Oryctolagus cuniculus: one gene and its partner. The protein of the gene in region 2 purifies or fractionates together with the protein of the main gene of each other region. This does not show direct contact. Links are inferred from orthologs where the notes say so. Each region holds a gene or a part of one and is shown on either strand. Other genes may lie near its edges.

Region 1 (4,585 bases), about 36 Mb from region 2:
TTAACACAGTTCAAAGTACAATACAGAGCAGGCACTCAATCAATGGCAGTTGTTACTTTCCTACCTCTTAGTGCTTCTGGTATTCAATTTAATTACCTGAACCTTTGTTATTATATAGTTGGATCTGACTGTGGAGTTAAGAGAGAAATTCTCAGATCTAAGCACTGAGGAAGTATACAACTCTGAGGCAGACATTAGCTTTGTTCCAGAAGAGTTAGTACAACTTTCAATCTTCTCATCTCCACTGGTTTTACACTTCTCTTCCTACAGCACTACATTTTAAGCAAAATAATGCATTATTAAACTTCTCAAAAGTTTAAGAACATGATCAAGCATTCTGAACATTCTGTCTTTGTGTGATATCTGTCCTCTTCCTGACACAATCTCAGTACCCATAACTATTCTTTATGCAACTTGGCTTGCAAATCCTTGATATACTGGATGTCCGTGTTTGGAAGCATTTGAGTGTCTCAATATCATCATTAAAGGGTATCTATCCAAAGTGAATAACTACATCATAGTTTATCTGGCCCCAGCACATACAAAAGGGAGCTTACTGCATCCCTTCACTTGAGCATCCCACAAACTTGAACCAATGCCACCATGGACTGTGCGAGACTTCCCCACCTACATTACCCAGCAGCTCTTCCTCAGTCTTTCACTCATATCAACTGTTGCCAAGATAAGTTCTCAGCATTTTTTTCAACTTCTTTAAAAACTTCATGCAACATTTTATATTACTGCCAGTTCCTATACATCTTATTTATATCTTGATTTTAAATTTTCAAATATTCTGTGAATCTAATGTATGTTAAATTTTCCAGTATTAGTCTTCCCTACTTTTTAGGCATGTCATTTCCCCTTCATCTGAATGACTGAATAATAGAAAGCAGAATGAGCACCAAGAAAGTATTACTACTTCTTCTAATTGCTTATTGAACAATACTTCTGCTCTTATGTGCTTCCTCAAAACCAATTTCTCCCTAACAGATTCCCCCAACTCTTAGGACATACACATGACCATCTATTTTCACCAGGACCATAAAACTTTTAGAGTTAGAAGGGACTTTCCAGGATCGTCTAGTCTTACTCAACTCTCAGAAAATCAGGAAGCTTTAATTATATACCCTAGGTCATAACGCTGGTTAATAGTATATCAGAAAACAGAACTAAGGAATTCTAAAACCAAATATATGGTATTCTTTCCATCATGGGTTATTTGAATTTTTGTATTTTCACCTGTTTATTTCATCCACACATATTATTTTTTTATTATTTTATCTAAAACATTGAGCAATTTTGTTTTCAAGGGTATTCTGGCTATTACACAAGATGCACCATATCCTTTTTTTCTCTATTTTTTTAAGTCCATTTGAGGAGTAGATTGATAAATAGCCTAGCCTTGTCTCTCCTGATGAGCTACCTGGCAAGAGATGTATAAACTTCAATGTGTTGCAAGAACTCAAGAAAGGAATGATATGGCTACAAATCTCAAATCCTGAACCTCAGTATAAAAATGTACTTAAGGTTAACTACCAATTCCATAAGATCAGTAGAGAAAATGTTAATTTTATCATTGCATTGTTAAGATGAAATATATTGAATCTCTGTATTGGTGATACAACATTCTTTTCACCCTCTTTTTTTATTACTCTGATCTTCGCTTATAGTAGGCACTCAATGAAAAATGGCTCATCAGCAAATGAATAAATAAACCAATAAATCTCTAAAAGGAAAGATCATTCAAAAAATGGAAATGCAAAGATCTGACTTAATAACACTTCAAAAAGTAAACTGAAGTTAAGAGACATATTCCAGAGGGACTCACTTAGACACCACAGCTAACTAACTAAATAAATCTTCACATTGTAGTCACTTTTTGTTTGTTTTTTAGAGAAAGTGGTTACTCTTTTTTTGTTTTGTGCTTTTCTCTGTAATCTCTCACCAGGTAACTCTTGCTTCTCAGGCTCTTCGTACATAAAAATCTTGCACAATAATTCCTCTGCTCATTTTTCTAGAAACACCAATACTCAAGATCAAATCAAACTCATTATCATAAGATCATAAAAAGTCATCAATAGACATATGGATTACACTCTTTTAATATTAAATTCTTCAGTATTTTACTAGCACTTTCCATTAAATATCATTCTTTATACTGTTACTGTAAGTGAAAAGTAGTAAAGCAATATCATGTTAACTCAGAAGTCAAATATGGAGTTTGCTCACCTAATTATTTTTAATTGTTTACCATTGATTTCACGTCAATGTTTGTGCTAAGCTGAAAATTATTGAACTAGAACTGTATGAAACCCAAGCATTTTTATCCTTTCCTTATATGTTATTTAAATATCATACTCAAATATTTAAAAATTATCTTACGCAGTTAAACTAATGTTATTTGATACATGATCAATAATTTAGCTTGTATGAAACAACACAAAAGTACCAGCTTATAAAAACCGAACAAGTTCTCTCTACGGTTTCCCTTTAAATTCACAAAAAGGAAAAATCTAATCCAAAAACTGTAACAAGAAAACTACAGATTTAATAAACAGATTAACTTACTGAAAAAATCTTTAAAGACGTTTAACCATTCCATTTTGAATACAAATTCTGTGTTCTCTTTTGTAAGCTTGTTAACACAGCTCAGGATAATTCTCAGGGAGCTTCCTGGTCTGTTCTGCAACACTGAAACTTCCCACACCCAATCCATGTGACCTGGCCCACACCCAAGCAACAGAAAGCTTTTCTGAAGCTTCTCTTTCCAAAACTTTTTTCCCCATAAACTATAACAGAATCTGTAAAATAAGTAAATCATAATGGTCAAAAAAGTAACCTATTCTTCACACTTACTTTAGAAGGAGTTTTAAAGCCTATACATTTTCTAACACTTAAAAATATACTATTGCATTCATTTTTCCTTTTCCTAAACTTTCAAACAATGTCTCCACCAGCACAATCACTGTGAAACAAACCCATTAAATAAGACATTTGAGTTACCAAAAAGAGACACAGAAATGCTAAAGAAAAGAAGGTTATCCAATGCATAAGTTGGATTTACATCATTATACTATGTAACTATATACTACCAATATTTCCAAGCACCCAGAAATAAAGGTAGTAATAACCATCATATTGTAATAAAGTTAACAGCGATTTCTTAAATCTTACAGAATTATAAACCTTGCTAAAACTGTCTCAATAATATCAGAAAATATGGAAAATTTCCTAGTAATATTAATAAAAATTAATTCTAATTAACTTTCAGATTTATATACAATAACTAAAACTGGCATATTTGTCCTGTTTGCTCTAAGATAATAGTTTTTCACTATCTTTTGTAACTACTATCACATCTCTCTAATTCCAGACACCAGGATCCTATTAAAAACAAACAGGGGCAGTGGTTTGGAATAGCAGTTATTTGCGACACCAGCATCCCTTATCAGAGTACCTGGGTTTGAGTCTCAGCTCTGCTTCTGTATACTCTAGGAGGCAGCAAGTAATGGGTAAAGGACCCTGCCACCCACATGGGAAACCCAGAACGAGTTCCTGGCTCCCAGCTTCAGCAGGGTTCTGTTCACAATGAGGAGTGAAGTGTAAGCAGTGAACCAGCTAATTGGTGATCTCTTTCTCTTGTGTCTTTTTCTCTGCCTTGCAAATAAATTTTTAAAAACAAACTAAAAAGGAACAAAAACTCTATATAGATATGTCTAGTATTCTCTGTGCATTCATCACTATGAGTTATACTTTCTTGAAAGAAGTTACCTTGCTCTCCTTCAATACTTTTCATCAACATGCTTTCAATAAATGTTCAGTATTTACAAAACCAGAAGTATTCTTGGTTCTAACACTGGTCTCTTCAACTATGTAAAGAAAATCACATTCTGATTTGCCTTCCATTTAAAAACTAATGGTCCTGGCTGGTGCCGCGGCTCAACAGGCTAATCATCCACCTGCAACGCCAGCACTCCGGGTTCTAGTCTCGGTCGGGGCGCCAGATTCTGTCCTGGTTGCCCCTCTTCCAGGCCAGCTCTCTGCTGTGGCCTGGGAGTGTAGTGGAGGATGGCCCAAGTACTTGGGCCCTGCACCCCATGGGAGACCAGGAGAAGCACCTGGCTTCTGCCTTGGGATGAGCCCGGTGCGCCGGCCGCAGCGGCCATTGTTGGGTGAACCCACAGAAAAGGAAGACCTTTCTCTTTCTCTCTCTCTCACTGTCCACTCTGCCTGTCAAAAAAAAAAAAAAAAAAAAAAAAGGAAGAAAACAAAAAAAAAAACTAATGGTCCTGTTTGCAAAAAAATTAGAATCTAAAAAAACATTATCCCAACAGTTAAACGGCACAGCAACAACTACCAATTTATCTTTAAAACAATGTAAATGCTTTAGCTCAGAAACTAATATTCTAATACTTTATTTACTACTGGGAAGTACACTATATTTTAGTTTTTGATGTTTTCTGATAGTTAAAAACAGTACTTGTCTTTTATTGCTGATAAATTTCTAGAGTAACAATAATATCAACAACAAGCACATCAATTATATTTCATACTTGTCAATAATGCTACATTTTTCCCAAACTAT
Region 2 (4,351 bases):
ACACACACAGTGAAGCGTACACCGACTGTTGTTTCAAAGTCCTCTGATGCATGCAGGCAGGCGAGATGCACTAGCTGCACTGGTTTGCTTTCATTCATTCATTCATTCATTCGCCTTATTCTGAGGCTCATATTCACACTACATGACTTAGAATGGCTCAGCGCACTTGGCCAGAAGCGAATTCCTGCCTTAACAGAGGGGCTAGGAACGCTCGCGACGCCTCTGCTGTACTTAAAGGGGGCGGGGGAAAGCAAGTCAGTTTTCAACGATTTCTTGCGATGCATTTCCCGTGGCTCGGGCCGGAGAGGAAGGCTGCGCGGCGAGGGAGGCGATTTGGCACTCCCGATGACAGAATGTCACGTTCGCCACCGTAAACATCCCACCTCTGAACGAGAAAGTGGGTGCGGTGAACGCGCGCTCGCCAGCCCATCTGGCATCTCATCCGCGGGTCAAACTTTCGCCATCCACTGGGGTGGATCCCCGCGGAAACGCGGCCGGGAAGAGAAACGCCGTGGCCGCGGGCGGCGAGCTTGGCTTAAGCAGCATTGGCTTTGGAGTTACCTGATGGCTTGGAAGCTATTGCGCCCGGAGAACGAGCTTCTACGTTCCGATTCGTGGGGAACTGCGGCACGAGCTGGTCCTGGGTGTGGCGATCCGAAAGGGAGCTCTGATTCCCTAGCTTTCCCGCAGAGGGACCGGCAACTTGGGACCGGCGCAGTCCGGCATATCGGTTACTGCGGGTGGACCCGACCCCCGGGCCGCTGCAGATTACAGAAGCGCCAGGCCGGACGCGCCGTGCGTGCGCGCTTCTCCCGGGCTCGTTCCACGCCTGGAGGCGGATCCCCTTCCCTGCACACAAGTCCTTATATGCACCGGTTGCACCAGCCCGCCTTACTCGAGCCCCACAAATAATTAATGGGGGAGGGAGGGCGTCGCTGTCTTTTTCTTTTCCCCTTTCTGCGCCCCCCCAGCTCTAGAGCATTTGAATCCCACCGAGAAAACCCAAGAGGCGAGGAAAGAGCCATTTTGCTGCAATGCCCGAGTTGGACACACAAAAAAAGAGCTTGAGCCCCCGCGATAAGCCCGGCAAGGGTCAGGGACTGCCCCGCCGATCCGCCCCGATTAGCCCGCAGGAGCCTGGGCGGGAGGGTGCGCGCCCCTCCCCCATCCACGCTGGTGTCGAGGGACCGGGTCAGGAAGCGCGGCCTCTCCCCAGTCGGAGACCACGCCTCCTCCGCCTCCCCCCTTTACTCCTCCCAGGAAGCGGTGATAGACAGTTCTGTGTGGTTCTCCACCCCCACCCCCCAGCTGAGTGGAGGAGTTGATGTGTCTCATTATAACAGCCAATGCAGCCGCCATCCACGCACAAGCAAAGAAGCATGTCCCATTTAAATACACCCACGCAGCTCCAGCGCCCTTAGCCGATCGGGGCGCGCAGCCCACACGCACCGCGGCTCCGGGCTTGGAGATCCGCGCAGGTTGGGCTCCCGGACCCGGCGGACCGGCGCACGGAGGCTTGAGATCGGGCGCTGAGGGGCCGGGGTGGGCGGGGGAGGCTGGGCCCGGGGCCTCTGGCTCGACACCCGCAGGAGGACGCGAGTGAAACAGACCAAGGTGGAATTTCCAAGGGAGAAGCTTTGGGGTGGCTTTGGTCCATTTCTCGGGCGAAGAAGTAGACATGGCGAGCGACTCCCCGGCTCGCAGCCTGGATGAAATCGATCTCTCGGCTCTGAGGGTGAGCAGAACGCGTTTTTCGCATTTCTTCCCAGGGGTTTGGGTCCGGGGGGCGGGGTTGGGGTGGGTGGGTGGGGGAGAATGGGGTCGGTGTGTGGTCTGGGGGCTGACGGGCAGCTGCGGGAGAATGCGACGGGGACCGACCCCGGATTCGCGCTTGGATTCGGGGTTGCCGAGGCGCTCCGGGCTGAGCCTCTATGGCAAGGGTTGTGCGGAACGTGTCCCCCCCGTTGGCTGTGGCCGACGATCCCCCGAAACTGCTTGTGGAGCTTATGGCAGTTTCATCTTAGAGCAGTGTAAGAGCATTAGAACGCGAGCCTCTGTGTGTGTGTGTGTGCGCGCGTGTGTGCGTGTGTGAGCGCGCGCGCGCGTGTGTGCACGCTCCGGGCGGTCGTCTCGTGCCAGGGCGCGGGACCCGACTGTCCCTTGCTGCAGAAACTAGAGCAGCGCGCATACAGGCGCTGGCCCCTCACGTTCGCCAGCTACCTGCGAGATGACACCGTGAGCCTGGCCGGCCCGGCGAGGCCGAGCCTGCTGCTCCACGGGGGCAGTTATTGCTATGCGGGTCTCATAGATGGCAGCGGCCGCCCCTTCCCCCCGCCCCCGCCTGGCGCGCCCGGGCTCCGGCTCCGCGCCTCCTTCCACGCCAGCCTGCCACTCACCTTTATTTATGGCTTTAACCCAGCCCTGCCTGTGCTTTCCGACTTTGTGGCTGTGGCATGTCAGCTTTATGGCTGAACTTGGGCAGGTGAAAGGGATGGGTTTGCCGCTGTTCGCAGTCGGACCGGAACTCCCTGGAGTGTGTGTGTTTTCCCCGCGTCTGCGGCCGGTCCTTTGTGGAGCACCTCCCTCCCGCAGCCCGCGGCTTGGCGTTGAACCTCCGCGTGCATTACCTCAGACGCCGTGGCATGCTGTCGACTGAGATATCGGCGATATAGAATCCATTTTGCTGTTGTTTGGAGACCACAGTTCCAGGGCAGCCTCGACGCCTCCCCCTCCCCAACCCCCAATCTCAGCATACTCCTGGGGGGGAGGGGAGGGGAGCAGAGCTTTCTTCTTGCCATTTTAATTAGATGCTGCGGGCCAGGGAGGGGTGAGGGGTGGGTGGGAAGCTGCTGGCAATCGAGGGGGCCTGAGAAGGATTGGACGCCCATTTAAGGTCCGTTTGTTCGTCTTGCGAACCAAAAATACAATTGGAGAAGAATAGCAAGTGCACGTACTTGCGTGGCCAGATAGGGTCAGGCGTGCAAGTTCACACGCCCTCCTGAGGAACACATTGTTAGGTGGATGCTACATCTCCGGCCAGGTACCTGAATCCCTAGTACGTCGGACATGGCCTCTTCCAACACGGGTATTTTTGAGTTCCCTCTGTGATCAAAGTGGCACTTTGGTCTCCTTGTCCCTCCCTTTCCCTACCTCTTCCCCTCCCCCCTCCTGTCCCCCGAGTCCCTGAGGTGAGGTTTCAGGGGGATGCTCTTGGAAACAGGCTGTAGCGGTAGTTAGGCAGCCACAGCTCGGGCATGCATTAGTGCACTCAGCTGCCTCTCTGGAGCTGAGAAGCCACAGGCAGGGCTTTCTGCCCCTTGGGCTGTGGGGGTGGGGACCGGGAACCGGGTGGGTGCTTGGACCCGGGCTGTGGCTTCCTGCTTTGCGGACTGTGTGTTCTGTTCCTTTGCCCTACTTTCTGCACTGGGAGTTGCTGCCAGCGAGTTAATCAGGTGGATGAATGAGGAGACCCTGGGAGGGGCCCGCCGCAAAGGAGAAAGGCATCTGAACAATGGGCCAGGCTGGGGAGCCCAAATCTTGACATTGCTCTCCTAATGGAAAATGCTCTGCTGGGATTTGAAGTTGGGTTCGGATTTGTTTCCTAGTGAAGGTTTTCTGAGATCCTGAGCCCTCCAGCTCGGAGCCTGCGGGCGTGGGAGCCACTATGAGGGCTCCCCCCGGGGGCTGATTCGCAGGGCCCCTCATACTCTGGGGAGACCCGTGCAGGTGCAATTTGGCTTCGAAAAGGAGAATTTTGCATGATTTACTGAAATTGCTCTTTGTGGCCTGGACAGCCAGCTTAGTGCTCTCTGCTTCTGTTTTTCTGCCTGCCGGAGGTATGGAAAGAGGGAGGGGAGCAGCTCCGGCTAGTGACTGGGGAGCTGCTGGCCACAGGAAGTGAATGCACAGGTGGAGACAGCTGCATCCCCAGAGGATGGGGGTCTTTGGCCAGCCTTGGGGTGGCTGAGGGGTGCGGGCCAGACTGGGTCCAGAGGCTGCAGAGGTCATCGCCACAAATCAGAGTGCAGATCAGCTCTGCCTTCCCAAATTGAGAGAGGTGGGCTCATGGACAGAAGTCTCACTTGCTCCTCTGCTCTTAGGAAAGCCTGCCTGCTGAGCGCTCCCTGGGGAATGCCTGACCCCTGAAATGCAACCAAGGTCAGTGGCTTCTAGGAGAATTTGCTGCAGCTTTACCAGTCTTTGGCTGTTTCTGTGGCTCTTTAATGTACACAATTCAAGGCTCTTTTTGTAAACCAGGGCTCAGTGCATTAAAAGCAGATCCTGTCTGGAGAGGCCTTTCTCCTTCTCACTTTGGGGGCCTATTGTTCTCAGCCAGTGATCCCAGACTGGA

What was found.
Region 1: the proteins of TNIK (region 2) and NCK1 purify together in Homo sapiens (affinity purification with mass spectrometry; 3 studies listed by BioGRID and IntAct, with this or other methods). This does not show direct contact. The link is inferred for Oryctolagus cuniculus from reciprocal best matches to the Homo sapiens genes TNIK and NCK1.

Annotation. Positions count from the first base shown.
Region 1 is NC_091435.1:144,688,813-144,693,397, forward strand, and holds the start of NCK1 (SH2/SH3 adapter protein NCK1), read right to left. Parts: upstream 3,052-4,585; 5' UTR 2,822-3,051; coding exon 2,569-2,821; intron 1-2,568. UniProt on the Homo sapiens protein: Adapter protein which associates with tyrosine-phosphorylated growth factor receptors, such as KDR and PDGFRB, or their cellular substrates. Maintains low levels of EIF2S1 phosphorylation by promoting its dephosphorylation by PP1.
Region 2 is NC_091435.1:108,838,595-108,842,945, forward strand, and holds the start of TNIK (TRAF2 and NCK-interacting protein kinase), read left to right. Parts: upstream 1-1,275; 5' UTR 1,276-1,678; coding exon 1,679-1,735; intron 1,736-4,351. UniProt on the Homo sapiens protein: Serine/threonine kinase that acts as an essential activator of the Wnt signaling pathway. Recruited to promoters of Wnt target genes and required to activate their expression. May act by phosphorylating TCF4/TCF7L2.